Linked DNA regions of Diceros bicornis minor. The protein of the gene in region 1 purifies or fractionates together with the protein of each later gene. This does not show direct contact. Links are inferred from orthologs where the notes say so. Each region holds a gene or a part of one and is shown in the gene's direction. Other genes may lie near its edges.

Region 1 (7,284 bases):
ATTTTCTTTTCACAATTATGAAAACAATGTTTTCATTATAGAAGAATCAAGTAAGAAAAAAGAAGAAAATAAAAAACACTCACCAGATGCAACTGCTGTTAATACCTCACTGTATCTTTCTAAAGTCTCTTATTAGCATATATTTATAATATATATTTAATAAAATTAGGGTTATATCATACATGCTGTTTTATAAGGTATTTTTTTCACTTAATATATTGAAAATAGTGTCCTATGTCAATAAACATACTTCTGTGGTAAGATTTTTAATAGCTGCAAAGTTGGTGACAGTATTCCTAAGGTTTACCCAGTGTTCTGGAGTGATAAACTTTGCATTCCATTTCAGAGATTTTTTTTCTGTAACAGAGGAAAACATTTCTGCTGTAACTGAGAATGGTATCTGGACATCATGGACATTACCAAGGGATGTGGTCATCTCTCTCTCTCTTTTTTTATTTAGCCAAACTGCAATAGCTGGGAGAAAGAGCTGTATTATATCTGTGACAAAGTTCCTGGCCACAAAGTCTTTGCCATATCTATAAAATTCTAATTTCAGGTGAAAGGGCAATATAAGTTTATTTTTTCTGACAACCACAAAGGAGAGGAACAGGGATAGATACCAATGATTTGCAAGCATCATTGCATATCTTGAGTGCAGACATCCGGTGTTGGGCAGGCCCAGTTGGCCAGAGCCTGGTAGGCTTCTCATGGGTAGAGCCACTAAAATGTTAAATAACCGGGTCTTTATTTTGGGGCTTCAGGGGCATAGAAGGCCTTGGTGCAAAGAGCATGTTATCAGATAAGTCACCCTTTTCAGATATAAGATTTTGAGCCAACAGGAGCATAAGACTGACCCACTGTATTAATTCTTGGACTTATTCCTAAGTGACTTTCTCTCTACACAAGCCTTCTGAATGTTTTCTTGATGGCAAGGGAATAGAGGGGGTGTTCTTTTTGTTCCATCTCTCCCTCTCTTTCCTTGAATTTCCTCCTCCATCCCCACTTCATCAAATGGCTTTGTGTCTGTATGATGTTTTAGATACAGTTATATTCTATTTCCAAAGACCACTATGTATTTCACAGCAGGTATTGATGGGCTGCAACTGGCATTAGAGGATATTTAGGATCAGAGACTACTTAGAAATAATAATAATAATAATAACAACAACAACAACAACAATAATAATAATATCTAATACTTACTGGACATTTATTATATACTGTTTGGTGTTGTACATTCATAATTTCATTTAATTCTCAGGAGAACTCTATTATTTGGCTATTACAATTATCCCCATTTTATAGACGAGAAAACTGAGACTCAGAAAAGTTAGGTAACTTGCCAGATTTCACACAGCTAGGCAGTTGCAGAACCGGAATTTAAACCAGGTCCATCCCACTGACTCTAGAGCCATTTCTCACCTACGTGGCTCTACTTTCTGTCTCAGTAAGTTTAGAAGTCAGGGAACTGGAAGGAACAACAACAAAATAAACCCAACATAAGGCCAAGAGAATTGCTGACAAATAAGACACATCTCATTCCTTCTCCATGTTTAATGTCAATTTTTATACCTTGGCTACGAGTGCCCATTATGAAGCCATTTGCTCATGGCTGTCTTCTTCCTACCCCTCCCCCATCATCAGATGATTTTTATTTATAGCTATATTTGAACATCATAGGCAACACTCAGACTCGCTGTGTACTGAATTTGCCATCCAAGCAAAGATTCTTCCTCAAAGCATATTTGCTATAGTCACTCCCTGGTTTTTGCCAAGAAATTAAAAAGACCGTTCTTTTTGGTTTACTTTTAACTTTTTGTTCAAAGCATTCCTCAGCTTTAGAACTGAGACAGTCAGGTCCAATTAGTTTAGACCAGATTAATCAAACTGAATTTTCAGATCCATTAGCTAGTTTGAGTTCCAGAGAGTAAGGAAACATTTTAGTTTTCTTCTAAAGGAAAAGACATTCTGATTTAGTTCTGTATTGTTTATAATCATGTATGCTTTACTTCACTGCTTGAATGCTAATAAGAGCTTCCTAGAACTCATTCCTTAAGAATTTAAGTCATAGCATCTAATTATTTGGCAGGATGTTTTAAGTATATATAATTATATCTTCCCTTCATTTTGTAGTGGTGGTGAGCCAAGTAATCTGCATCAAGAGAAAATAAATAATACCTCCATTAATGCTACCAATAAGGAGCTCACAGCACTTCGGAAAAACCCACTCATTATAGTCTTAGCACATAGTGGGTGCTCAATACTTTTTAATCTACCAAACTAACATCATCCCCACCTTTCCAGATAAGAGAATTCAGGCAAAGGGAAGTTATATTGACCCTGTTCCATATTGCAGTCCTTGGAGGTCAGTTGTGTGAGTGTGACTGAAACCTTGCACTGGGAAGTTTGAAGTTTTAAATCCTGACCACCACCGCAGCCTTGGGCAAGTCACCTCTCTTTTCTGAGTGCCTGAGTGCTTCCTGCCCTCTGAGACAGGACCAGTTCTCACACAGGTACCGGGCAACAGTGAAGAACAAGACAGGATAGCACACTGAACATGGCTTTATAATCATGGCACCAAGCTACATTTTTTTCCTCATTCATTCTACATGGTCTCAACTCTTACTCCTTTATTACTTGGGGATGTTAACTGCAAAACATGGTCAGAATTTGGGCTAAAAGAACTTCTTTCCAGCCTGGTAAATTAAGTATAAGCCTTTTGGGGATTAGATCTGAGGTGCTTTCTTCTGGGCACGCTACTGATAAATACGAAGGGAAAGCAGAATTGCAATTTCCAGCCCGGGAAGGCCAAGCCAGTCGGCCTCGCCAAGCAGGTTGTCTTGGATAAAGGAGAATTTTCAGTCCTGCCACTGGCTGATCTGGGCATCCACGGCCTTCTGCAGCCTGTTGGTCAGGAAAATGCCCTCAGAGCTGCAGCGAGCACTACTCTCCTCCAGTGCATCCCTGAGCGCTTGCGTGCGGCAGGGTCGCCTGCTTTTTGGGGTAGGGAGTCTAGAAAACAGGGGACCAGGTTCGGCTCTTGCCCTACGTTTTAAGGTTAAATGTCCTTTGAAAAGCTTCTCTCTCTCAGGTCTTGTAGACATCACAATCTCTCTTCTGCCTATCTGTCCCCAGACCGTTTTTAAGCAGTGCTATTGGGAGAATACAAGCTACACCAGAGCAGGGAACCTTGACTGTTTGGATGACCTCTGTCTCCCAGGCGTGAGATCTAGCACCTAGTTGGCGCTCAACAAAGCCAAATATTTCTGTGAATGCAGAGTCAATGGAATGTGAAAACATTTCGCAAACTCCAAAGAGATTCATAGCCAGACCGTGGTCGGATCCTAGGGTATCCGAGCTTTCTTGAAAGTGCGGATCGTAGCCGCTTCGAACACCATCCGGTCGCGGTTAAGACGAGTGTGACCATCTCCTTACGGCCTTCCCTCTAGAAAGCAGGCCAGGGAGGGCAGGGGTTGGGGGGGGAGGGACGCCTCTCATTCCCAGGAGGAACCGAAATCGGAGGAAGGCGAACACCTGGGGCTGAAGGCGACAACGAGAGAGGCTGCGCGGGGCGTGTGGCAGCCAGGCACGGTCCGAGGCCCAGAGAAGAGCCCAAGCCTCAGCCATCGCGCCCGACGACACACCTAGGCCCGCGGACAGGTGTGTGCCGGGGGAGTCAGGCGCACCGTATGGCACTCCCGGGGCAGGTACACCCTCCTCCGCCTACGAGCGACCTAATTACAAGGCGCTGGCCGCGCCCAGAGGCGGAGGCGGCCACTCCAACCACTCGGCGCCGACTCCTGCCCCCAAAGATGAGGGAATCCCACGCAATTCGAGCGCTGTTGCACCACGGAGGACCCATGGGGTCGCCATCCTCGTTTCCGCGACCTGGCGGCAGTCGCCGGGTGACGACCCGACGCCTACCACCTTAGGGATAAAGTCTCCGGACTGCGCCTGCGTCAGGCCCGCGCCCGCGCCGAGCAGGACGTAGGGCCCTGGGATCGGCCGGGTTCCCGGCTGAAGCACCGCGCTTGCTCTGACTCGGTCTTCCCTTCCCCCTCGACCCCTCCCTTCTGGAGGACCACGCCCTAAAAGCGAAGGTGCCTGTTACCAGCCGGCTACGTTGCGCCTGCGCCTTGGCCCCGAGTTCCCGCCCCGACTCGGGTCTGGCGGCCGACCAGGGTTGGCTTCGCAGTTGCGCAGCCGGTGTCTCGGCCCTGCTGCCCCTCCGCACCCCGCCGCCTCCTGACGCCGGGCGTGACGTCACCACGCCGGCGGCCGCCATTACAGAGACCGAGCTCGCGGGCTAGAGTGATCGGAGGAGGGCAGCGGCCGGTGGCCGAGCACTGCGGGGGGAGCCAACGGGTCAGCGCTAGCGCCGAGCAGCCACCAGCCGCCACACAAGTACCCCGGGAAGCGGCAGCGGCAGCGGCGTGTGCGTGTGGCCCGTGTGCGGGCGGCGGCGCGGGAGTAGCGCGGAGCGGCGGCCGGTTCGGGTGGGTGGCATCATGGACGAGAAGGTGTTCACCAAGGAGCTGGACCAGTGGATCGAGCAGCTGAACGAGTGCAAGCAGCTGTCCGAGTCCCAGGTCAAGAGCCTATGCGAGAAGGTAAGCTGCACTCCGGCTGCGCGCACCGCCGCGGCCGAGGCCGCCGAGGAGGAGGCGGCGGCGGCGGCGGCGGCGGCGGCGGCGGCGGCGGCGTCGGTGTCGGTGTCGGTGTCGGTGGGGAGGTGCAACATGGCGGAGGCGCCGGCCCGGGCCCCCCGAGCCGCCCAGACCGACGCCCGGCGCGGCTCCCGGGCGACCCGGCGCCCCCTGCCTCCCGCGCAGGGATTGGTTGTCGCCGCCTAAAATGGCGCCGCTCAGCCGGCTCCGGGGCTTCGGAGCCTCCGGGCCTGGGCGCTGGGCGAGGTGGCGGGGTAGCGGCGACCGTGCGTGTCGGGGTCGGGGAGGGTTTTGAAATCCGGATAGATCGCTTGGGTTCTGCGGCCTGGGAATGGGACCTAGGACTCGCCTGTGAGGTGGGTAAGAGGCTTTCTGCTTGTACTCAGGCCTGATATTTGGGTCCAAAGCTGTCCAGAGGGTCCCCCCAAAGGCAGGCTTGTAGGCCAGATCCCAGGACCTAGCTAAAGGTCACACAACTTTAGGACTACCCTGGGTGGTTTGTGTTAAATTCATCGAGCAGTCTTTTCCAGAGACTTATTTAAAGCGTGTTTTTTAAGAATTTAAAAATGAATTTCTAATCTAATTTCTACGAAGGTCATGGTGGTAGTTACAGGGAAGGAGTATAGTTTATTTTTCAAAGTTGGAAGAAATGGAGAATTTGGTGAGTCATACTTAATAAGGAGCTTTGGGATTGGAAATCAAGTGTCAGTTTAATCTATGGTTTATATGCTGACTCAAATTGGGTAGTGTGAAACCCTTCTTTAAGGTTAATGTACTTGGCATTTTGCCATTTATTTTTTAAAATGAGCAATATAAACTAAGCAGTAAATTTTATATCTTGGCTCTTTGTTGGAAAAGTTACTTGTTTGTATTTTTCTGGCTTTAAGTAGTAGTAGCAGCAGTAATAATAGCTGTCGATTTACCGCTACTGTATTCCAGACATTGTGCTTAGTGTTTGAATAATTTATCTCACAGATGTTGAAAATAGAATGTTGTAATCCACTTAATAAATCCATTTTAAATTATCTAATTCTGTTTTGTTTTTCCCTAAGGGTTGTGGAAACAGCCTATTGAGCTGTTAGCTATGCTGTATTTTTGAAGTCTTATAACTCAGTTTTCTAAAGTATAGAAAATGCTATCTCCACTATGAATATTTTGACTTTCCTTTTCAAAATTAACTTTGCAGCATTTCGTTTTAGTACAGAATTGTGGAATATCAGCATCTCATATTAGTGAAGAGAGTTATTAGAGAGCAATTCTGCTGACTCGTTTGTGGTTTGATGTGAAAATTAGGTTCATGAGTTTGATGTATATGCTCCTAAAACAGGCTTTTTCAGCAACTGTGTTGTGATTAATTGCAACTTAAGTGAGTCAAATTCAGATTTATTTATCCCAAGCCTGAACAAAACTCTCCTACTAGTGGATGAGGTGACACATCATCTCCTAGAGCCGAATTTTAGGGGTAGCGTGTACTCTTTGTTGCTTCTTGACCCTTAATTCTCTTGCATCAAGTGAGGATGGTATTTGTTTTAAAGGTTTAGAAATAGGCTTTTAAAAATTATTTAATGTATATTGTTAGGTCTTAATTTCTAGGTACTATAAGTGCTGGTTTTAATGACTTTTAGAGTTTAGTACTTACTCTATATAAAGACTGAGTCAGCAGTTGGCTAGATGACCAGTCATTTGTGTAGAAAACATTAGAAGAGAGGTAATGATGTAATTGGGAGACCACTGGACTTCAAGTTAGACCTGGACACTAATCCTCTTTCTGCCGTAGAGTGCATAATTGTGACTGACCTTCGGGCAACCACTTCACTTGCTCCACATTTTCCTGTCTGTAAAATAAAGAGTTAAAATGGATGTTCCAGGGTCCCTTCTAATTTTCTGAGATTATACAATTCCATTGTAAATTAGAACTTAGTGTATAAATATTGAACACCTATTGAATATCCAAGATTGCTTACTCTTAGGAATGAAAAGCAATGAAGAATAATCATACTTAGTCTCAAGGTGACTGAATCTAGTTGGCAATTGATAGTAGACGGACCACAGAAGTAGAGGGTTTGTATTGGAGACTAGAAGATAACTTTGGATGTTAAGCTGGGGTGGCTGAAGCTTTGATGCTTCTGGTAAATATTCACTGTTTCCCACATCTTTGTAAAACGAAGATGTAGTGCGATTAATTCATGCTTAGATCTCCATTGCTCGTCCAGTGTGTCCAGATTTTAGTTCTTAGAGCCAAAATGATGGAAATAATATTTGAAGTTAGGTTTCCAAGAAATGGATCCTTTTGGGAGGATATCACACAGCTTTCATACTGTTTTTAACTTGTATTTCAACTTTTGGAACTATATTAACTTTCCAAACTAAATTAATTTGAAGGCAGCTTTTTAGGTATGTGGGATGTTAGGATGCATGACTTGAAATAATCTTTTGTCCAAGTTTTTCTAATAAAACAAAAGTTCTCTTTTCCCTGTTAATATTTGTATGGCCAATAGCACATCTGGTGAAAGCTACATATTTTGAAAATCTGGAGGGAAAATTTTTTTTTATTAGTATAATAGTTTTTTCTTTCTTTAAAGAAGAGATACTTGTTAGGGATAGCTATTTGGTGATA
Region 2 (7,090 bases), on another chromosome or scaffold:
TTAGGAAGGTGCTAGTGTTTGAGAGAAAGCAAGAGTTTTAAAGACTTTTTTTTTTTTGTGAGGAAGATCAGCCTTGAGCTAACATCCATGCTAATCCTCCTCTTTTTGCTGAGGAAGACCGGCTCTGAGCTAACATCTATTGCCAATCCTCCTCTTTTTTTCCCCAAAGCCCCAGTAGATAGTTGTACTTCATAGTTGCACAGCCTTCTAGTTGCTGTATGTGAGACGCGGCCTCAGCATGGCCGGAGAAGCGGTGCGTTGGTGCGCGCCCGGGATCCGCACCTGGGCCGCCAATAGCGGAGCGCACGCACCTAACCGCTAAGCCACGGGGCCGGCCCCTAAGACATTTTCAATTACACTTTCCAGCATTGTATGGAGGAACTTACATGCTACAGTAGTAATCATACATTTGATTACTTTTTTTTTAAAAGTCAAGGCACACATGTCATGCCTGTGTAAAATCATCCTGTAAGCATTTCAACTGTAGAGTCGAGTCGCCAGGGGACTTGAATCACACAATCCTGGAGTCTCAGAACCTTATTAGTTGTGTAAAAATACATAAGTGTTGCTAAGACTCGGTTTTCTCACCTGTAAGATTTAGAAATAATACTATCCTCATGGGGTTATTGGGACAGCTAAATAAACAACGCAGATACAGCCCTTAGCACAGGCCTGAGGGAGTAAGAGATGATTATTAGCCTTTATTATTCTCAACACTATCATGAGGGAGTGGCTCAATAATTTTTAATACCTTTATTGAGATGTAATTTATACACCGTACAATTTTCCTATTTAATGTGTACAATTCAAAGGTTTTTAGTATATTCACAGATATGTGCAACCATCACCACAGTCAAATTGAGGACTTTTTCATTACCTCAAGAAGGAAGCCCTTATCCTTTAGCCATCACCCCCACCACCCTCCCCCTCACCCCCTAGGCCCAAGCAACCACTAATCTACTCTCTGTCTCTATAGAGTTCCCTAGTCTGGATTTTGATGAATGGTATCATATAGTATGTGGTTTTTTGTGACTGGCTTCCTTTTCTTAGAATAAAGTTTTCAAGATTCATCCATATTGTACCAGGTATCAGTAATTACTCCTTTTTATGGCCGAATAATACTCCATTGTATGAACAGACCACATTTTGTTTATCCATTTGTCTGCTGATGGACAGTCTCTCTAGTCAGCATAAGCCAGTAGACAGTTGACTAGACAAACATGAGTCAGACAATCCAAATTCTGTTTCACTTGTATAGACACGTACTCTTCAATTTACCCTGCAAAAGATATAATAAAGAGCTCCTAGTGATCCAGGCCCCCATCTAGCCTGTGTGAGTGATGGGGTCCATTTGAGACAGTTACAAGGCAGGTTGTGAGAAATGCTCTAACATGAACAAAACGCTGTAGGAATACAAGGGGAGGTAGAGGAAAGACTGATCCCAACAACGGAACCAGGAAGGTTGGCAGAGACAGAATTTGAGCTGGGCATGAGGGTGTTGGAAAAAGCGCATTCTCAAAAGAAGGACGCCTTGGAACCAAGGCATGGAGGGTGGGGAAAGCATTTGCGGAGCACAGAGTGAGAGATACAACAGGAAGGCAGGGGACATGCGGATGCCAGGCAAATTGTGTACTTTATTCTTGTGCATTGGGATGAAACTTTTTGAGCAGTCACTACAATACTTGTGTTTTCTAAGAAAGGCAACACCAGCAGCAGTGTGTCCCTTGATGAAATCACTGAATTTTCTCTCAAGTTTTTATACCTGCAAGTCTTTCAACTTCACAAAAACTTGTATAAGCTTTTGAAGACGTTACTACGTAAATCCAATTTTTTACTATATTGTTACCTCCATTCAATAAAAAATGTACTGATTTTTATCATTGAAAACCAGTCTCTAAAGATTCAAAACTAAAATCAAGACTATTTCTACAAGTTTCGAACCCTTTTGACGGAACACAGATTCATAAGACTATTTACTATGGTACAAATAAATGACATAAGACCTCTGTCAGATCTGCTCTGACAGTGGCCACTGGCTTTTTTTCTTGAGTGCTCGGAGGGACTCATGCCTTGAAAATAAAAAAAGACCCAAAGAGGTGAACTTCTGTTGTGTCGGTAGTGAGTTTTGATAATGGTTGAAAATCTCAATTTTCAGCGACAGATTTGGGTCAGCTAAAGCTAGAAGCAATTACAGATGTACAAAAAGGTACAAAGGGTTCTCATCCAAGTTCATGCCAAAGGAAAAAGATCAGGAGGAAAGAATAGGCCTCTTTGGAATTGTGACCTGCCACACGTGCTTAAAGTGGGGTTTATATTTGAATGTCACAATGTTAAAGGCTGTTCATTGTTCATTTGCATATGCATGCCAGTTCAGTAACTACAGCGTCTATTTTATGTCCCTTTAACATATTTTTTTTGTCCCTTAAGAAGCATTTCCCGTACTGGTCTAATGTCATTGGTGTCTTTTCGATATACAGCACCTATTAATATTAGGAAAAACTTTTTTTGCGTGTTTGGACAGGAAAAAAATAAACTGAGCAAAGAACATCATTAGACATTTCCCTTACTTCACAACAATCTAATGAGCCAAATGGATTGCAGAATTCACCATTTTGAAGGAGGAAACACTCAAATTCACCATAGAGTGAAGTGAGACCTGACTCCAAGATCTAAAATGTCCTTAGAGCATCACTCCAGGTTTAGAGGGTAAAAGGGCCAAGCATTAGGAAAGGTTAACGGATCACCAACCATCCAGTGACAAAGCCAGTTCTCGCCTTAAGGCCAGGGTCAAATGTTATTACCCATGCACTGATTTCATAGGTATGACACAACAGGGCAAGTTCCTATTCTATGGCAGTTGGGGTGCAGGAAGGCTGGAAACCTATAAACACAAGCTTGTAAAATATTAGGTCGTGATCAGTGCTCTAAAGAAAGGATTTAGAGGACGGGGTACTACTTAGCTAGGGTTGCCAGGAAAGATCTTTCCGAGGGAGCACAACGCAGGGCTTCCGAGTGGAGCCCTTAGGCAAGGCTGTGCAATTTTGCTTCTTACCGGCTAGGTGTGAGTGGAGCCCTTAGACAAGGCTGTGCAATTTTGCTTCTTACCGGCTAGCTGTATAATCTTGGGCAAGTTACTGGACCACTTGTGCTAAACGGGGATTTCTCTAACAAACATTTAGAGCTTGCTAAGGGCCGGGCACTGTTCTCCCTGAATCCGTACAGCAGCTGTGTAAGGTGGACACCATTGTTATCATTACCATTTTTGCAGACAAGGAACCTGCGGCAGAAAGAGATTATGTCACCTCCCCAAAGACCCAGCTAGTTAAGTGGCAGCAGGGATTCCAACCCAGACAGTGACTGCAGTACCCCTGTGTCTTAAGATCGCGCTAAGGATTGAGTTATTCACCCCAAAGCGCTCAGAACAGTCCCGGCAGCTGGATCCCGAAGCGCCAGCGAAGCGCCGCGGAGGGGGCACCGGGCAGCCCCGAAGGGCGGAGGGCGCGGCGGCAGGAGCACGGCGCCCCGAACACCAGACTCCGGGCCAGGGCAGCGGCCAGCGGCTCGCACGCCCGCCCGCACCCGACACGGACGGCCGGACGACGAAGCCCCCACCGAGCGCGACCCCCACGCCGCGCCCGCCCCCAAGCCCACGTTCCGCGCTATGCCCGCCGGCCTCACCTCCGCCTCCCTCCATCGCGAGAGTTCCGGCAGTTGGGGGAACCCGGAAGTGGATTCTACCATCTTTTCGGAGCCGGGGAGAGAAGGAGCGAGTAAATAATGCTCTCAGTAAATGAGTTCCTCCTTGGGACCCGCTATCCAGAAACTCTCCATTGTATAGCTTTAAGAAATGACTAAATTCGAGCTACTCTCGGCTTGTGGATTCTAAAGTTCCCGTCCGTGTCTTCGCACTCCCCCCCCACAGCTTCCTGGATGATACAAGTTTCCGAAGGCCGCTGATTCCAGAAGGTACTGTCTGGCGTTAAACTAGTCTCACGCGAAAAATAAGTCTCACGCGGCCTGTACTGCGCGTGCGCGAACTGTGCCGCGCTCCCGCGAGAGGAGGGTGCGTTCTCCGTTCGGAGTGGTCCTAGCCGGTTGCGGAAAGGTAGCCGCTGCTGCTGCGCCATGGCGTCCGTGGGGACCCTCGCCTTCGATGAATATGGGCGCCCCTTCCTCATCATCAAGGATCAGGACCGCAAGTCTCGTCTTATGGGACTTGAGGCCCTCAAGGTAACGGGACCGGGACACACTGGCGCTGGGAGAGGGGAGGCGGCCGAACCCGGGCTCTGCGCCTGCGCGGGCCTGGGAGCGGGTCTGCCATGTGCTCCCGGGAAGGCCGGGGGAGCCCCGCTCCTTGAGCTCGGGGAGGCCGGCGGATAAGCCTTTAGCCCCGAGTTGGCGGTAGGGTGGAGCCGCAGGCACCGTTCAGAGCCGGTGGGGCGGCTTCAGTTCCTCGGTTCCCCGGCCCAGCAGTGTTGTCGTCAGCAGGGTGCAGAGAAGGTAGTCTCAGGTCGCCTGGCCGGTGCAGGCTCTGCCTCCTGACCTTCCCTGAGTGTCCCTGCAACAGCCCTAAGAGAAACGGAGCCTCATCATCTTTGTCACCTCCCAAAGGCGTAGTCATTTACCAAGTACGTCTGGTTTGAGCACCTTTATGTGTGGCGTATTCCTGGATGCCTGTCGTAAAAATAAAAAATAGACATCCTTAAGGAAGAAAGGACTAGCGCAAGAAGGAAAAATGGACACCAGTAAGCGTCATACCGGGCAGCGTGTGATTAGAATCGCGGTTATGGGAGAGGATGCAGATAAAGTTGGAGGGTGTCCTCCAGACTGGGTAGAGGCCGGCTTCTGATCAAGGGTGGAGTGATGTGTTGAATGGGAGAGAGCCAGGGTTCTGGGGGAGGAAACAGTAAAAGCGAAGACCCGGGCAGGAAAACGGGGCGGCGCGTTGTAGGGCGAAAGAGCGGTCTGGTTTAGGTGGAGCGTAGTCTACTTTAAGTTACAGTAGTTCCCCAGAGTGGAAGCTCTTGAATGCCCCACAGTCAAGATGTTGTTCCATGGGAAGGAGGGGAGCCGTTGAGAGAGTTTTGAGCATAATCGTAATTTGAGTGAAGCTGTACGTTAGGAAGTAGCATGTGGGGTGGGCTGGAGGAAAAAAGGAAGACCAGAGGCGTTAAATGCAGCATAGCAGGAGTCCAGGTGAGGAAGGGTCATCTGAACAGACGCTGACGGGAAACACGGAGGAAGGGACGCTTTGAGAGGGCACTGACTTCTTTAGGGTTTGTTATAAAGTGGAAGAATCCGTGATGTTGGTGTGGATAGGCCTTGTCACTGGGTCTGAGGTGTCTCTGTTCGTTTAGGGTCTTAGTGCTTTACTTAAATTAAGAAACAGTACAGTTCTCCCACAGGCTGGTTGTTTGAGAACAAGTTACACAACCTCTCTGAACCTCCTTTCTCAGTGAGAGTGTGCACCTCTGTCAAGCTGAGGATGAGAATTAAATGAGGCTAGTTTAAGGAGTGACCACACAGTGCTTGAATGATGGTGGGCGCTCAGGCCGCTGGTATTATTACATGTTCAGGTCTATTTTTCACTTAAAGCGAACAGCACAGAAAGTAACATCCAATATAATAGTACCCTGGAAGCTGCAGGTTATTTTGCATTAGCCACTGTGTTAACCGCTTTCCGTACGTTATTTCATGGTATCCCCACACTGTGAGTTAGGTATTGTTGCGCTGTATTGGAAACGGCCTCAGAGCAGTTAAGCAATTGCTTCAAGTCGCAGGGCCATGATTGAAGCCCCCCTCTGTCTGACTCCAAAGCCAGTGGTCTAGAGCAGGGCCTCAACCTTGGCACTACTAACATTTGGGGCCAGATCCTTCTTTGTTGTGGGGCTCTGTCCTGTGTAGGATGTTTAGCAGCATCCCTGGCCTCTGCCCACTCTGTGCCAGTAGTACCTCCCTCGCCAGTCATGACAACCAAAAATGTCTCCCAGGGGCCAAAATTGCCCCTGGTTAAGAACCACTTCCCTCTGATTATTACCTCTTAAAAATTCCATTATACAGACATATCAATCCAAGTATATTTTGAGGATTACCAGTATTTTCACAGAGCCAATGAACTCTGTCTTTTGTCACCTGCCAGGTGAGTAACCAGGGACAGCTTCACAGAACATGTGCATTTGAACTGCTTTGAAAGTTGGTCAGGATTTTGGTGGGGACAGGGCCTTCTGTGCATCACTACCTCAGGGATCAGAGGACATGTTCCGGAAACAAGAATAGACCATCCTCGCTGGAAGGGAGCTAGGTCTCAGATTGCAGAGGGCATTGAAGACAGAGCTGAAGCTTTTGGACTTGAGTGTTGAGGCGCTGGGGAGTTGTTTAAGGTTTGGGACTAGTAAGCAACACCCTTGAGAAAAATGGGTGGCTTAGCTGGATGTAGGATGAATTTGAAGGATGGGAGGTGAGATAAGAGACCCTTGAATTCTGTAGGATGCTGTGGATCTGGGTTTAGGTTGGTGATGGCAAGAATAGAAAGAAAGGAAACGACATTTGGAGGAAAAACGGGTATAATTATGTGTGGGAACAGAAAAGGATGCTTTCAAGCTTCCAATACTTTCCGTGTTGATAACCTTGGCAGCTGACAGGCAAGGGTGACTCTAAGGTATATGGGTTCTGCGTTGGCTTGACCGTTTGAGAGAAGAGTGCGTCTCTGCAGTAAACCGTAGTGTGACAGTTCCAGGTGCTGCGTGTGTACAGCTGGACTCCTCACGTGATGTTAGCCTTGCAAAGTCCTACAAGGCCTGTCAGGTCAGACTGCCCCTGCTCTTGGCTGTAAGGTGGGCGGTAGGAGAACCTGCCTCATAGATGTATTGATTCTAGAGAACAGGAACTATGTCATGAGTGTTTTTTATAATCATCAGCTGTATGCATTTAACTATTAAAATTATATGTACTTGAATATTTGTTTTTTCTGTCTGCTTGATTTAGTCTCATATAATGGCAGCAAAGGCTGTAGCCAATACAATGAGAACATCACTTGGACCAAATGGTAAGAGTCTCTCATTCTGTGTTGTTTTAACAAAAGTTTTAAATC
Region 3 (7,792 bases), on another chromosome or scaffold:
TCACAGCTGAGGCCACCGAGGCTCAGAGAGGGACAGAGACTCGTATAAGGTCACACAGCGGATTGGCGGCGGGGCCAAGACTCGATCCTGGAACACGGCCCCCTCCCTCACGCTCCCCAAACTCGGGCCCGGGCGGGCAGCTCCACTCACCGGCAGCTGCGGAGCCCCCTCCCGCTTCAGCCCGGGGCCCTTGCGCCTCCTCTGGACACCCCGTCTACGCCCCCACAGTCCGAGGGGCTTCCGTGCCCGACCTCGAGACGCCGCCCGTCCAGCCCCAGCCCCAGAGCGCTCACCTGAGAGCCCGCGCCGCTCCAGTGGCTCCGCCCATGGGGCCCCGCCCCCTTCTCGCCCCCCCCACCCCGGGCCGCTCTGGCCTGGCCTCCGCCTCATCTCGGTGTCCGCGCCACTTCCCCATCCGGGACTTGCGCCTGAGGCGGGGCGTGGCGTGCGGCCTTTAGCTTCTGGGGCTGGCTGCGGTTCCTGCTCGGGGGTGGGGCTGCTGCTCGCCCTCGAGAGGAAGTCCTTTACGTCCCAGACGTTGCGAAATAGATCCGAGCCCAAGAGTTTCGTTTTCGACTCGGTGACCCCCCCCCCCCCACCAGGGCGAATTCGGGCGAGTCTCCCCGGATCTGTAAAGGGAATGTTCTGGACCCTCGCTTGGCCTCACCAGGCTGCTGAGAGGCACAAAATAATGTTTCTGGGAGAACGTTTGTAAGGTGCAAAGGGCTGAGCACGTGCAACTTAGTGCAGTGGCCTCTGCTGGGAAATACCCACTTTGGGGGACTTTTCAAATCCTTCCAAACCCCAAATGACGTTCTGTGCTTCGGCTTATTAGTAGCTACCATAGCTTTCACAGACATCTTTATGTAATCGTCACATCCCTATTACGTGGCAGATACTATTGTGTATTTACAGACAGGGAAACAGGAAACTCCTCGAAAGGAAGCAAGGACGAAGACTGACCTGGAAGCAAGGACGAAGACTGACCTGGTCGAGTCCAGCTGGGTTCCCAAGGCTGAATGTTTAACCAGCATCTTCATGTCCACACCCAAGGGCTCAGCCTAAGCCGCTATCTGTTGGGACATCTTAGAGCTGCGTGTGCTGTGCCTGCAGCTGGCCAACGGCTCCTGACTAGTTGCCGACTCCATCTAATTGACCTATGGTTTTCGCAAAATTTCTGAACGTTGAAAGAAAGAAGCGTGGTATACCACAGGGATACTTGAGAGTAGGCTCAGGGGGCCCCTGAGGTAAGACGAGTAAGAGCTTCCTTAAGCATCCATGTTTTTCTTTAGGATTCAGAAGTTAAATAACTATTAAATAATTGTAATTTTTTATATTAAAGAAAAACATATAATCAAGAGGACTGCAGCAGTTACAAAAACTTTCAGGGATAAAATGTTAAACGTAAGACACATTTTTATGTTGCCAGTTCAGGGGACACACCCAGATCCCGGGGCTGTGTTCTGTCCTAGCAGCAGTGGCTAGTGGGAAGTTCTTCCATCCCAGAGGGAACTAACGGGATTCTCTCTCCCTGACCCTCAGAGGAATTTGATTTCTTCTCCTGAAAGATGTCCATAATTGGTGTCATATCTTAGAAATGCAAAAATTTCACTTTTGTGGGTGTGTGAGGAAGATCAGCCCTGAGCTAACATCCATGCTAATCCTCCTCTTTTTGCTGAGGAAGATCAGCCCTGAGCTAACATCTATTGCCAATCCTCCTCCTTTTTTTCCCTAAAGCCCCAGTAGATAGTTATATGTCATAGGTGCACATCCTTCTAGTTGCTGTATGTGGGGCGCAGCCTCAGCATGGCCGGAGAAGCGGTGCGTCGGTGCGCGCCCGGGATCCGAACCTGGGCCGCCAGTAGCCGAGCGCACGCACTTAACCGCTAAGCCATGGGGCCAGCCCCAAATATTTCACTTTTTAATTTGGCAAAAACCTGTAAAAAACCTTGGCAAGTTTTGATTTTTTGTTTTTTGTTTTGTGAAGAAGATCAGCCCTGAGCTAACATCCATGCCAATCCTCCTCTTTTTGCTGAGTGAGAGTTTTAAAAATTGTCTAATGCTGGTCAAGGTTAGGGAAGGCTGGAGCTGGTAGCTCCCAGGCTGGGAATCCAACGGCCGTGGTTCTACAGTCACTGTGCTACAACCACGTGCATGACTGCCTGTTTTTAGCTGTGTGGCTTTGCACAAGATACTTCTCTTTTCTCAAATTTCTCCTCTGTCAGATGGGAATGAAAAGTACACGTCCTTCGTCCTTCACAAGGTGTTTGAGGGCCAAATGAGGTGAGGGACATGTTACATTAGGTCTTTGAAATTAAAAGAATTTAAAGTGCTATATGAAGGTAGGGTATTAGTAACTAACCCAAATCATGGAATTCATCAGGAAACTGGCTCTCCTCAACTTTTAGGAGATTGAATGATATGTATGATGTTTCTTTTGGACCCCTTTGTGCCTAACACAGAGCTAGGAGCAGGTCTGGGACTAGGGTGAGGTGGGGAAGGGTGGTGAGACACTTGCTGTAGGGCACAAAATGTTAAGGGGGGGTGCCAAAAAACTCAGTGAGCAAGATGAATATTTATTTAATGCAATATTTTAAAAATCAAAATTAATACTAAAAATCCATGATGAACAAAATATCACATTTTTAAATAAAGACAATACCAATAATGGTTTTGTGCAGTCATATTAGAGCCTGAGGCAAAAGGATAAACCAATAATAATGGGTTTCTCAGATCCCCTTCTATAGGCATGTAGTTGCCTGAGAAAGTACTTGAGGATGTGCATACTGTAAATGTAGAATATATATATATATATTTTTTTTTTGCCTTTCTTCTTGGTGAGGAAGATTAGCCCTGAGCTAACATCTGCCAATCCTCCTCTTTTTGCTGAGGAAGACTGGCCCTGGGCTAACATCCAAGCCCATCTTCCTCTACTTTATATATGGGATGCCGCCACAGCATGGCTTGGTAAGAAGTAGCTAGGTCTGCGCCCCGGATCCATACCTGCAAACCCTGGGCTGCAGAGGCAGAGTGCGAGAACTTAATCACTACGCCACTGGGCCAGCCCGTAAATGTAGAAATGTTTTAAAGTGAATTTCTAGTCAGTTCATCCCAACAGCATCTGTGGTAGCCAATATATGAACTGTACATGTATATGGACGATATATGGACTCATACAGGCTGTAGACAATAGGATTGGCATTTGAGTTTGTCTATCTCCCGCCCTGACTAAAGCTGGGAAAACCACTCTCTCAGCCAAAATGGTCCACATGTTGACTGTCTCAAAGATATATTGATCAGAGAAGAGAGAATTAAAATCTCCCAGAGACCTCCAAACCTCTAGCTCTCTAGTCAGCCAGGTTAAGGTCCAAGAAGCAACTGATTTCTATGTTTAACACAAGGCTGTGTGATTTGGGGCAGCTTGATTCCATTCTTGGGACCTCCTCAATTCCCTCTTTTTTTTTTTTAGTATTCCTGAATGCTTTTATTTTTTTTTAATGTGCAGAATTTTTTTCTTTAATTTTTTGTTTATTGTAGTAACTGGTTTATAACATTATATAAATTTCAGGTGTACATCATTATACTTCTATTTCTGCATAGATTACATCATGTTCACCACCCAAATACTAATTACAACCCATCACCACACACATGTGCCAAATTATCCCTTTCGCCCTCCTCCCTCCCCCCTTCCCCTCTGGTAACCACCAATCCAATCTCTGTCTCTATGTGTTTGTTTATTGTTGTTATTATCTACTGCTTAATGAAGGAAATCATACGGTATTTGACCTTCTCCCTCTGACTTATTTCACTTTGCACAATACCCTCAATGTCCATCCATGTTGTCACAAATGGCTGGATTTCATCGTTTCTTATGGCTGAGTAGTATTCCATTGTGTATATATACCACATCTTCTTTATCCATTTGTCCCTTGATGGGCACTTAGGTTGCTTCCACGTCTTGGCTATTGTGAATAACGCTGCAATGAACACAGGGGTGCATGAATCTTTATGCATTGGTGTTTTCAAGTTCTTTGGATAAATACCCAGCAGTGGAATAGCTGGATCATATGGTAGCTCTATCCTTGATTTTTTGAGGAATCTCCATACTGTTTTCCATAGTGGCTGCCTCAATTTCCTCTTGAATAACAGTCTTTTCCTTCCTTCAAATGTCTGTTGAGTTAGTCTACTTGTGCTGGACACTGTACTAGGTGTTGAGCATAGAGTGACGAACAAAACAGACAAGGGTGGGAAGGGACGAGGATCAACGAGTCAGTAACGACATGAAACAAAGCAATTTCAGCTAGTGTTAAAGCTAAGAAGAAAGGAGCATCTGGAGGCAGATTGGTAGTCAGTGAGATTAGAAGGAGCAGGGGAATGACAAGACCTAAAGCACTGATTCCACTTATAAAAAGATGTTTTGGGTTGCCAGAGTGGAAGACGAGAGGCCCCTAGAGTTGCAGCCATCCAGGCCAGAAAAATGGTGGCCTGGGCCAGAGTGGTAGCAGTGGAGACACACTCTGAGCCCTGGGGCTCAGCACGACAGGGTCAAAAAGTATGTTCCCCTTTAAGAGTCCGGGCCGCAGGGGCGGGGCCTCGGGCCGCTGGGGCTGGCCCTAGGAGTGAGCGCGCGCTGTGCGGGGGCGGGACGTGGGCAAGCCCGCATGGCTGGCTCGGGCCCCGGATGAGGAAGTGCGCGGGGGGGGGGGGGGGGGGGGGGGGGGGGTGTTAACCATAGAGACGAACAGGCGGTGGCGGCCGGAGCGCCCCCGGGCTCTCTCAGCTCCGTAGGCTCAGGTAGACTTGGCGGCGACTGGGCTGCGGCTGCAGAGCCCGGGCCGGCGGGGCGAGCGCGGGCCGCGGAGCAGGCCTCAGGGTAAGAGGCCGGGGGCGGGAAGGCTTCGGGCATAGCCGCCCCGTCCCACTCCACCCTGAGGGGACCCTCCACTGGGCAATGCAGGCTGAAGGGGAGCCCGCCCCCCCCCCCCCCCCGGGGCATCGAAGGGAACGAGGCTGCTTTGCGGGCGGCGGAACGACCCGCGGAGAGGGAGGAGACCAGGCCCCGCGTCGCGAGGGGGAAACGGCTTCTCCGAGTCATGGCTCCGGCGGGGAAGAGATACTCCCTTTCAACCTCGATGCGGCGGGGGACCCCCAACTTTTCTCCCCGGGGAGGATGACGCCCCTTGTCGTGGGCGTACGCTCGTCCTCAGCTCCCGTGCATTTGTCGGCAGAGGGAGACTCGCTCCCGGGGTGCGAGAGGGCGATTCTTAACTTATTAAAAGAGGGATAAGAGATAACCCCAAACAAGACCTTTCCCCCGTGTTGGTCAGCACCCTCCAGGTGAAGAGCGAGACTCAACTTGCCTAAAAGTGGCAGAGAGGATCATCCTTCCCTGTAAAAGAGAGACTTACCTCTCCTCTTTTATTTTTCGCCTTTACCCCGAGATATAGAGGAAGACCCTGAATTTACTTTATAGTGTTAGAAGTCAGCCTTTCCCTCCTCCCCCAATCATGTCCACAGAGGGAGCGTCGCGCCTCTTCTTCCCTCAAGTCTCTTGGTGTGCAATGAGCTCCTTTCCCTTGCAGTTACGAGCATGGCGTTTGGAGTGTGATAGTTGCAAGCCTGGGTCTCCCACTTCCCATCTTTGTGACCTTGGCTAATTGTTTAACCTTTCCCAGTCTCAGTTAGTCCATCTCTAATTTGGCTACTCTTTTCGTAGAATTGTCATAAGGGCTAAAGGAGAATTTGTGTAAGTTCTTAGTACATAGTAACCTTTTGGTAAACTGTTACTGTTACTTAATTTGTTTTTTTAAAAAAAGGAAACTAGTATCTTCCACAGAGAAACATGTTTTTCCATGCATGTCTCCTCCCATCCCTCCCCACCCCCATCACAAGGGTGCAGCCCATCCTTTCTCACAAGAAAGGAGACTTTTCCCCTGGGCTGGACAAGGAGGCACTTCTGCTACTTTTACGTCCTACCATACTCCCCAAATTAACATAGAGGGCCTCAATTAGAATAATCAGGAAAAAAGTTTTGTTTTTGGAAACAGGTCTGTACTCCAAGAGGGAAAGAGACCTGATACCAGAAGCCAGCGTTTCCTTTGTCCACAGAAACTATCACTTCTTCCTGACTGGATTTTCTCCCACTCCCCCTACTTGCTCTAGTGATGAAAAAGCTTCCTTCTATCTGCACACCCCTCACCCCCAAAGAGGAAGATTCCAGCTTCTTTCTCTTGCTCTCTCAAGAAAAATAAGAAAAATAAGGCTCTATACCTATGAGAGGAGGACTCTTTCCTGCTCTATATTTATAGTGGCACAGATGGTTTCTTTTCTTCTCTTCCTTTGAAAAAGAAATGAAAATCTTTTATGCAGTGAGTCTTTGTCAGTAGAAATTAGGAGCATTTTCACTGTTCCACTCCGCATGTGGAGATAGAAGGATCCTTTTTCTGCAGGCTCATAAAGAGAGGAAAAGGAAACAGTGTATGATGCTTTTGAGATTTTCTGCACACTCCATGTTGAAGAGCTAGGCCCTGTTTAGTATGTGGACTTCTTTGCGGCACTTTGTTTGTCTAGAGATCTTGTTAAAAGATTCTTCTTTCTCTGTCCCTCAAGAAGAGGCCCCTTCTCCGAATTCTTTCATGGAGGGATTGGCTACAGTGTTCGAATCTTTGGAAAAGAAAGCCCCTTTCTCAAGGTGAAAGGATTGTTGGGAACTTCTGAGGGCCTGATCATTATTGTCAGTATTGCCCCTTGACACAAGTGTGGCAGCTCCCAGTGTTACTAACTGTTCTTTAAGAGCAGCCCCTTTGCATTGGAATTAAAGGGAGGGGAGATCTTCCGACTTGGGATTGTTGGGGTACATGGTTTTGTGTTCTGCTGTTTTCTTTGTTTGATTTTTTTTTCTATTTTTTGCTTATTGCTGTAAACTTTGTGCCCCCAGAACTTTTGTTTTGGGGAGTATTTGAACAGCTAAAGTAAAAGTTGCCACTTTGTCATGTTTTTAGTCTTAGGTGTTCTAATGGGATTGAGAGCTGCAATGTTAATCTTTCACTGGTAGTTTGGTTTTTGTTGTTTTTTTTCCCCTTGCTTTTGTTATTTGGTGGGATAAGAATTAACGCCAAATTGCCTGAAGACACATGAAAGAAAAGCTTTCCATCTTTTTTGTATGTAAAGTATTCTTAAATTACCCCTTGGATGCTTGCAATGGGGATTAGTCTGAGCTCTGTACCACCATTGTTGGTGTCTGTAGGTGTACTTTGCTGAAACAAAGTGAAATAGAAAAGTTATCATTTAGAGTCAGAGGATTTTTATGGATGGCAGGACCCTTTGACATTATTTTGTTTACCTTGTTTATTTTACGTGTGAAAAACAAGACCAGGAAAGTGAAATGACACAGTCTAGGCCATGCAGCTAGCAGGATAGGGACCCTGGTCTCCTGACTTGGACACCAATACCTAGACTGCTTCCCAGCACGGCATCTACATTTGAGACAGAAAGATCTTGAGATGATTGTTCTCAATTCAAAAGAATTTCTTCTTTTACTGGAGTAACTTTACCTAATACTCTCTATAAATTTATAACGTCTTCTTTTTTCAGGAATAAATTCCTTCCCTAAACAATCTAATTCCCATTTGTGTTATAGTAAAGATGACAAGCCAGTAGCAGCTGGCAAGAGTTGTTTGTGAATCTATGGTTTATTTTTTGCTTATACCTCAAACTAGATAATTACTTGGTGTCCTCACCAAGTAGGTTGGTTATAAGTCATTAGGGTTAAGCTGTAAATCCTTGTCTT
Region 4 (7,217 bases), on another chromosome or scaffold:
AACTCCAGCACACCGCTGTCCCCTAGAGATGCGACAGTGAGCAGAAAACAGACCTAACTCAGCTGGTCTCTCTATAAATCCTTCCCTGATTCCCAACTCAAAGTGATCCTTCCCTGTGTGCATTTACATATATGGAATTAAGTTTATACCATTTTGCATCATGTTTCTTTTTATTATAGTTATTTGTGGAGAGTCCCTATTTCTCCTATTAGATCATAGGGCACCCAGGGCTGGAGGACAGTATCTCTTACCCTACTCAGTGGATTCCATGGAAGAGATGAGCCTTAATTAGCCTACTTCAGTGACTTTAGAGACATGTAAACAAACACCAATTGGGAGATTTCTTTCCTTGCTAATTTGGTGTAGAAATGGTGGCTACATATAGTCAACCAAAACAGAACACTGCTGATAGAGCAGATTTATGAATTAGGAGTAAATAATATCTACCCTTTATTGAAGATCTCTTAAAATTCTGCAAGAACCTGACACTTTTGTGGAGAAGAACTCCTTTGCTAATCTGCAAATGACATTTCCAGGCTCCCCTGCCAGCAAGTCTTCCTCAATGGCTGCATCTTCTCTATCTCTGGGCTCTGTTGTGCCCTCCTCCGAGGGTCACAGTGGCTTCCTGCTGTGGCTGTCCCTTATCACTCCCAGGACTACAGTTCCCTCTTGAATCACCTGGTATGGGCTGCTCTCTTGACTAGAGTCCCACTTTATGATACATCATATGTGGCTGGACCTCCACATGCTTTTCCTTCTCTTGTTGAAGGATATTCAAGATCCATGTGAAAACTAGACCTCTCCACTCAATCACTGGGGCTGACTTGGTCCCTTGGCTCTCTCGTGATCTGGTGTCAAAAATGGAGTTGGGGATTAGGGTAGGAGTTAGACAAACTACAATTAGGAATTAGATCAAACCTGCTCCTCTCAGAAAAGACCATCAATTCTTTTAAGCTTAATTTCTGTTCATTCGTTGGAAACCCATTTCTACCTTGCAAGGATTTACGTCTCAAATGCTCTCATTTCCACCTCAAAGGTAAATAGTGGCCAACAACAGGGTTGGCTTCCTAACAGTGGAACTGTTTTCCTTTTCTTCCCCCTTGATTATTCCAGTCTTGTTTAATCGAGTGTAGATGGCATTAGATAGTGGTGAGGATCTAGCCATAATAGGATCCCTGTTGTTAGCTGGATTCCACAGAAAATCCTGGTATTAAGATACTGACTAGGCTAATGAAGCCGCTAAAAGAAACCCCAAAATTCAGTGGCTGAAATGAGAGAAGCTTCTCTTTCAAGTAACAGCCCAAGCACAGAAACAGGACCAAGTGGCAGCTTCACGGTGCTGAGGACAAAAGTGGCTTCTCTCTCTGCATAATGTGCAGCTTCCGTCTGTGGCCTGGGACAGCTGCTGCAGGTCCCAGCCTCCTGTCTGTATTTCCCAAGTGGAAAGGAAAGACCACACGGAAGGCACGCTGCAGGCCCTCGTTCAAGGGTGCAAGTCACTAGCTGCGAACGCCACTGTCCATTGCCTTCACTTAGTCACTGTGCCACAAGATGTGGCTTTTAGCTAGACAGCAGCGTGTCCAGCCACAGCTGGGAGTTTCTGTTATTAAATGGAGAATGGATGCTGCCGGCAACAGCCTCTACCACAATTCACAATCTCTCAAATCAGTCCTCTCCTCTCTGAACTACTGGGATTTATGATTACTATAACAAAATCCCTTATGATGAGGAAGGACCCTGCTACCCCTTAAAGGCATGTGTATATATATATATGTAAGTTTCTATGTTATTTAAACTATAAAAGCAGTAATAACAGCTAACATTTATTAAGCCCTTACTGTGTGGTGACTCTGTAGCAAGGACTTGGCACATACTAATCCTCACTTCTGAGATAGGTGTAATTAATAGCCCCAATTTTACCACTGAGAAAACTGACGCACAGGGAAATTAATTCACCCAGTTACCTAGCAAGTAGGAGGCAGACAGGATACTGACCCAAAGCTTGGTGCTCTCATCACGCCACAATGACACATATTTATAAAAAGGTCAAAACTGGAGAGCGGCTGGGGACAGAGATCTGTTCTCAGGGTCCTTAGTAATTAAAAACAACAACAAACGGTAAGATTTCATTCTAATAAGGCACTCTTTCTTTTTAAATGGAGACAAAATTTACACTAAAAAAGGCATAGCTTTTAAGTGTACAGATTGGTGAGTTCTGACAAATGTCACCCAATGTGCACCTGTGTTACTATCAACCCAAGCAAGATGCAGAGCGTCTCCTTCACACTAAAAGTTCCCTCGTGCCACTTCCCAGTTAACCACCCCACTGCGAGGCACCCTGTTCTGATTTCTACCCCCATAAGCTTTGCCTGTTCTTGAGACTCTTGTAAACGGAATCTTATAGTATGTACTTTTGTGTGGGGGTTCTTTTGCTTAGAATGGTTTTCAGATTTACCCATGTTGCTGAACAGTATACCACCACAGCATTATCCTATGACGATTCCACATTTGTTTATCCTCTCATCTGGGGTTTATCCTCTTATCCAAACACCTGGGTGTTTCCTGCTTGCGGCGATTACAAATAAAGCTATAAACATTCTGTGGACTTCCATTTGCATACCTAGGGCTGCAATGCTAAGCCAGAGGGAGGTGTCTGTTTAACTTGAAAAGAAATTGCCTCACTGTTTTCCAAAGTGGTTAACATTTTACACTCTCACCAGCAGACTATGAGAATTCCAAAATTCCTCCACATCCTCACCAAAAATTAGAAGACTGACAAATTTTAACTGGTCTGGTGAGTGTAAAGGAGTATTTCATTGTGGCTTAATTTGCATTTCACTCATCCTCAAATTCACTGACTCTCTCTTCTTTTGTGCCCAATCGACTGTTAATCGACCATCCAATAAATTTTTCTTTTTACCAAGGATGTCAATTATATTTCTTTAAGTCTTTGTTTTTCCATTTTAAAAGTTAATGTATAAATCACAAAGAGTAAAATTTACCCTTTTTATTGTACACACCTGAAAGTTTTGACAAGCATATGCAGTTGGGTGAACACCGCCACCATCAAGACAGAGTGCTTCCATCAGTCCCTAAAATTCCCAGGTCACTTTACAGTCCACCCTCCCCGGCCCGCGGCGACCACTGCTCTGCTCCCTGTCCCTTCGCGCGAACGTCAGACAAATGGGATCACAGGGCATGGAGCCTGGTAAGACGTTCGGCACAGCTGCTTCCATCCATCCCTCCGGGAAGCCCTCCGTGTCCCCAAGGCCAGGGTAGTGAGAAAATACGTTAACTCAGACTAAAAAAATAAAATCCGACAGGCCAGCTAAAGCCAGACAGAAAAAGCTGCAAAGTTAACAGGAAACATTTCTCCCAAGCACACGCTGCGGCTGGAAAGTCTCCTGCTTTCTTCCCACGGAGAAACTCGTCTCTAAATTCTCAAGCAGCAGACACTGCGACGTTTGAAAGTGTCAGTAAAAATAAAACACACCTCGGCCGCTCTGACCCCGCGGAGCAGTCCCGGTTCCCGGGGGCGGGGCCGGGCCTTCCCAGGGGACCCGCAGGCCTGGCCGCCGGCTGAAGCCCTCCCGGACCCTCCCGACCTGCAGACTCACCTGCCGGCTCGGCGCCTCGCTGCCCGCCGCGGCCCACGCGGGAACGTCGGTGTCGGCGCCGGGCCCCGGTCCTCACCTCGGGGGCGGCGAGGGACACGCGACGAGGGGCCTCGGGGTCGGGGCTGCAGGGCTCGTCACCGGCCCTGCCTCACCCGTCCCCCCGGGGCGACCCCGGCGCGGCGAGCAGCCCCCTCCCACCCGGGACCCCGTCCCGGCGACCCCGCGCCTCCCAGAATCCCCCCTCAGGACTCCGCACCCCTGGGGACCCCGCCCGCCTGGGGACCACAAGCCCACAGAACCCCGCTCGCCCCTGGGCCCCGCCCGCCTCTGGACCCCACGTCTCGGGCTGCCCGCGCCACTGCCTGACGGTGCGCTCTTGCGCTCCGCGCCGCCAGGGGCCGTGGCCGCGTCCTTCGACGGGCCGCCGGGCGCGAGGGCGAGCGCCCTGACCAGCGCGTGAGCGCCGACCACGCGCAGGCCGCCACCGGGCGGGGCGCCGTCAGGCAGTGACGCGGACAGCCCAGGACGCGGGGTCCTGAGGGCGCGCGCCTCCTCGGCGGCAGCGGCAGCGGCGGCGGCCGGGCGGGCGGCGGCGGCGGCGGCGGCGATGCTGTGGCCTCAGCTGGCGGCGGCCGAGTGGGCGGCGCTGGCCTGGGAGCTGCTGGGCGCCTCGGTGCTGCTGATCGCGGTGCGTTGGCTGGTGCGGCGGCTGGAGAAGCGGCCGCGGGGCCTGGGCCGGAGTGGGGTCCGCGACCCCCTGCTCTGCGCGGCCGCGGGCCCGGCCCCCGACCCAGGTAAGGCCCGTCCGCTAGTGGACCCGCGCCCCACGCCGGCTCCCCTCCCCGGTCCCCCTCCTTTTCTCCCAGACTCTCCCCTCCTCTCCCCAGACCCCCTTCATTCGTCATCCCGGGTCGTTTTCCGTCGCCGGGCCCTCCTCCTCCCCTTTTCCCCGTTCCCCTCCTCCCCAGGCCCCCCTTGTCTCGCTATCCTGGGCCCCTCCCTTCCCCTCTCTTCCTCCCTCTGCGAGTCCTCCTCCTTTCGCCGCCCTGGGCCCTCGCAATGGCCTGAGTGTGATGTTCTGGGAAAAGAGCTGGGGTAAAACTCAGCCGTTCTCAGCGGACAGACCGTGGAAGAGCTGTGAGGCTGGACGCTCCGGTGCCGAGTCTCTCGGCAGTTCTGCTTGTTCGCTTGTGTTTGAATCCCTGATTTGACTGAGAAGCCCCTCTTCCGTTTTCCCGCAGTCTGTGCTTATTTCTTGCGCGCCGCTCACCCCTCTGTGTACAGGCTTACAGGCGGTGTGCGCCCTGCGTGCATCCAGGGCGTCCTCGTTCACATTTCGTTCACTCTCTTGCCCGAAAATGTCGTGTCTTTCTGCAGGGTAAACAGGAGTTTCTCTAGTCTCAGGATAGTAAGATGAAATTTATTAGCAGAAGGCAAAGTTGATGACCTCACCGTGGAATCTAAGGGCTAAAGGGGTCCTTGGGGTGACTTATTTATCATGTTCTGGTTTTACAGCTGAGGAAACAGGCCCCAGGAGGGTGTGGCCGAGATAACACGAGGAGGAGGCTGAGGCCAGCCGGGGATGTAGGCTTGTTCACACCAGGTCCAGCTGGCCCTCCGTCCTGTTGGGTTGGTGATTGTTGTACTTTCTCTCATCCCCTTAAGAATGTTTTAAGTGGCAGCTCTAGTAAATAGCGTGCTGATTTTCCACTTACACTGTCAACACTGTCAACAGATTCAGTGCAGGACACGGAGACTAAAAAGTACCCAGACACTAAAGCTAAAGGACGACTGTGGCCAATAGGGTATGGGGCTAGGAGATGAGAGTTTGGAGTGTCTCTTTTCATTAAAAATTTGTCTTTAATTTTTAAAGCATTTTAGACTTATAAAAAATTATAGAAATAGTACAAAGCAGATAAACACATGTAAAAAGATCTTCAACATCACGAACCAGCAGCAAAAGACAGATTAAACCTACAATGAGATATCACTACACACCTATTACAATGGCTAAAATAAAAAATACCAGTGTTACTAAATGCTGAGAAGCTGGGTCTCTCATTTACTGCTGGTGAAACTATTAAAGGTGCAGCGACTCTAAAATCAGTCTGGCATTTTTTCAAAAAATTAAACCTGCACTGCACTCCTGGGCATTTATCCTAGAGAAATGAAAACTTATTTTCATGCAAAAACCCATATACGAATGTTTACAACTTTTTTTGTAATTGCCAAAAACTGGAAACAGCCCAGATGTCTCTTGGAGGTGAGTGGTTAAACAAACTGGCACATTCACATCATGGAATGCTACTCAGCATTGAAATAGAAGGAATTGTTGATCCCCTCAACAACTTGGATGGATCTCAAGGACATTATGCTGAGTAAAACAAGCCAATCCCAGGAGGTCTATAGTGTATGATTCCATTTATATCACATGCTCAAAATGAAAAAAATTGTAGCAATAGAAAACAAATTAGTGGTTGCCAGGGGTGGAGGATGGTGGAGGAGATTGGATGTAATTATAAAGGAACAGCAGTAGGGAGATCTTTGTGGTGATGGAACAGTTCGGTAATTGGTTATGAATCTGTATGTGTGATAAGCGGTCATGGAATTATATACAAAGACACACAAGAAAAGAGTGACTGCAGAAACTGATGAGGTGCATGGTCTGCTTCATTGTGCTGTGTGAGTTTCTTGGTTTGAGTAATGCAGTACAGTGTGTAAGAGGTTGCCATTGGGGGAAGCCAGGTGATGGGTCCCCAGGACCTCTCAATACTATTTTTCAACTTTTTGTGTTTGTAATTGTTCAAAATAAAGAGTTAAAGAAATCTTGTATACCATTCACTTAGATTCGCCAATGTTAGTATCCTACATAATCATACTATAAGTAGGAAAACCAGGAAGCATTATCCCATCTGCAGACCTAACTCAATTTCTTATATCTTAATGTCTCTGTCTATCAGTCAATCGAGGTCCTGCAGATACTTCCAATTCTAGCCCAAGAGTCAGCAAACTATGGCCTGCTAGGCCAAATCTGGCCCCCACCTATTTTTGTAAATAAAGTCTTTTTTTGTGTGTGTGAGGAAGATCAGCCCTGAGCTAACATCCGTGCTAATCCTCCTCTTTTTTTGCTGAGGAAGACCGGCTCTGAGCTAACATCTATTGCCAATCCTCCTCCTTTTTTTTCCCCCCAAAGCCCCAGTAGATAGTTGTATGTCATAGTTGCACATCCTTCTAGTTGCTGTATGTGGGACACGGCCTCAGCATGGCCGGAGAAGCGGTGCGTTGGTGCGCGCCTGGGATCCGAACCCGGGCTGCCAGCAGCGGAGCGCGAGCACTTAACCGCTAAGCCACGGGGCTGGCCTGTAAATAAAGTCTTATTGGAACACAGCCACACTCTGTTGTCTATAGCTGTTCTTGAGCGTTTGAGAGAATTTATGGCTCAGAAAGCCTCAAGATTTACTCTCTGGCCCTTTATACTAGTTGGCTAACCCCTACTCTAGCCTCCCCCTCTGCTTATTTGTAACTCCCTTCTCTGTCAGTGAGGAACCTGGCTCTCATTAGCCACAATATATCCACTTATTTGCTGAGGACACATAAAAT

What was found.
Region 2: the proteins of PPP2CA (region 1) and CCT5 purify together in Homo sapiens (affinity purification with mass spectrometry; 4 studies listed by BioGRID and IntAct, with this or other methods). This does not show direct contact. The link is inferred for Diceros bicornis minor from reciprocal best matches to the Homo sapiens genes PPP2CA and CCT5.
Region 3: the proteins of PPP2CA (region 1) and PRR14L purify together in Homo sapiens (affinity purification with mass spectrometry; 3 studies listed by BioGRID and IntAct, with this or other methods). This does not show direct contact. The link is inferred for Diceros bicornis minor from reciprocal best matches to the Homo sapiens genes PPP2CA and PRR14L.
Region 4: the proteins of PPP2CA (region 1) and ANKLE2 purify together in Homo sapiens (affinity purification with mass spectrometry; 4 studies listed by BioGRID and IntAct, with this or other methods). This does not show direct contact. The link is inferred for Diceros bicornis minor from reciprocal best matches to the Homo sapiens genes PPP2CA and ANKLE2.

What each region holds. Positions count from the first base shown.
Region 1 is NC_080740.1:53,370,272-53,377,555, reverse strand, and holds the start of PPP2CA (serine/threonine-protein phosphatase 2A catalytic subunit alpha isoform), read left to right. Parts: upstream 1-4,272; 5' UTR 4,273-4,508; coding exon 4,509-4,610; intron 4,611-7,284. UniProt on the Homo sapiens protein: Catalytic subunit of protein phosphatase 2A (PP2A), a serine/threonine phosphatase involved in the regulation of a wide variety of enzymes, signal transduction pathways, and cellular events.
Region 2 is NC_080759.1:53,832,474-53,839,563, reverse strand, and holds the start of CCT5 (T-complex protein 1 subunit epsilon), read left to right. Parts: upstream 1-4,075; 5' UTR 4,076-4,125; coding exon 4,126-4,230; intron 4,231-6,984; coding exon 6,985-7,045; intron 7,046-7,090. Other genes in the region: ATPSCKMT (ATP synthase subunit C lysine N-methyltransferase), read right to left, coding at 3,679-3,694. UniProt on the Homo sapiens protein: Component of the chaperonin-containing T-complex (TRiC), a molecular chaperone complex that assists the folding of actin, tubulin and other proteins upon ATP hydrolysis.
Region 3 is NC_080774.1:25,087,678-25,095,469, reverse strand, and holds the start of PRR14L (protein PRR14L), read left to right. Parts: upstream 1-4,772; 5' UTR 4,773-4,876; intron 4,877-7,792.
Region 4 is NC_080774.1:431,041-438,257, forward strand, and holds the start of ANKLE2 (ankyrin repeat and LEM domain-containing protein 2), read left to right. Parts: upstream 1-4,209; 5' UTR 4,210-4,224; coding exon 4,225-4,411; intron 4,412-7,217. UniProt on the Homo sapiens protein: Involved in mitotic nuclear envelope reassembly by promoting dephosphorylation of BAF/BANF1 during mitotic exit.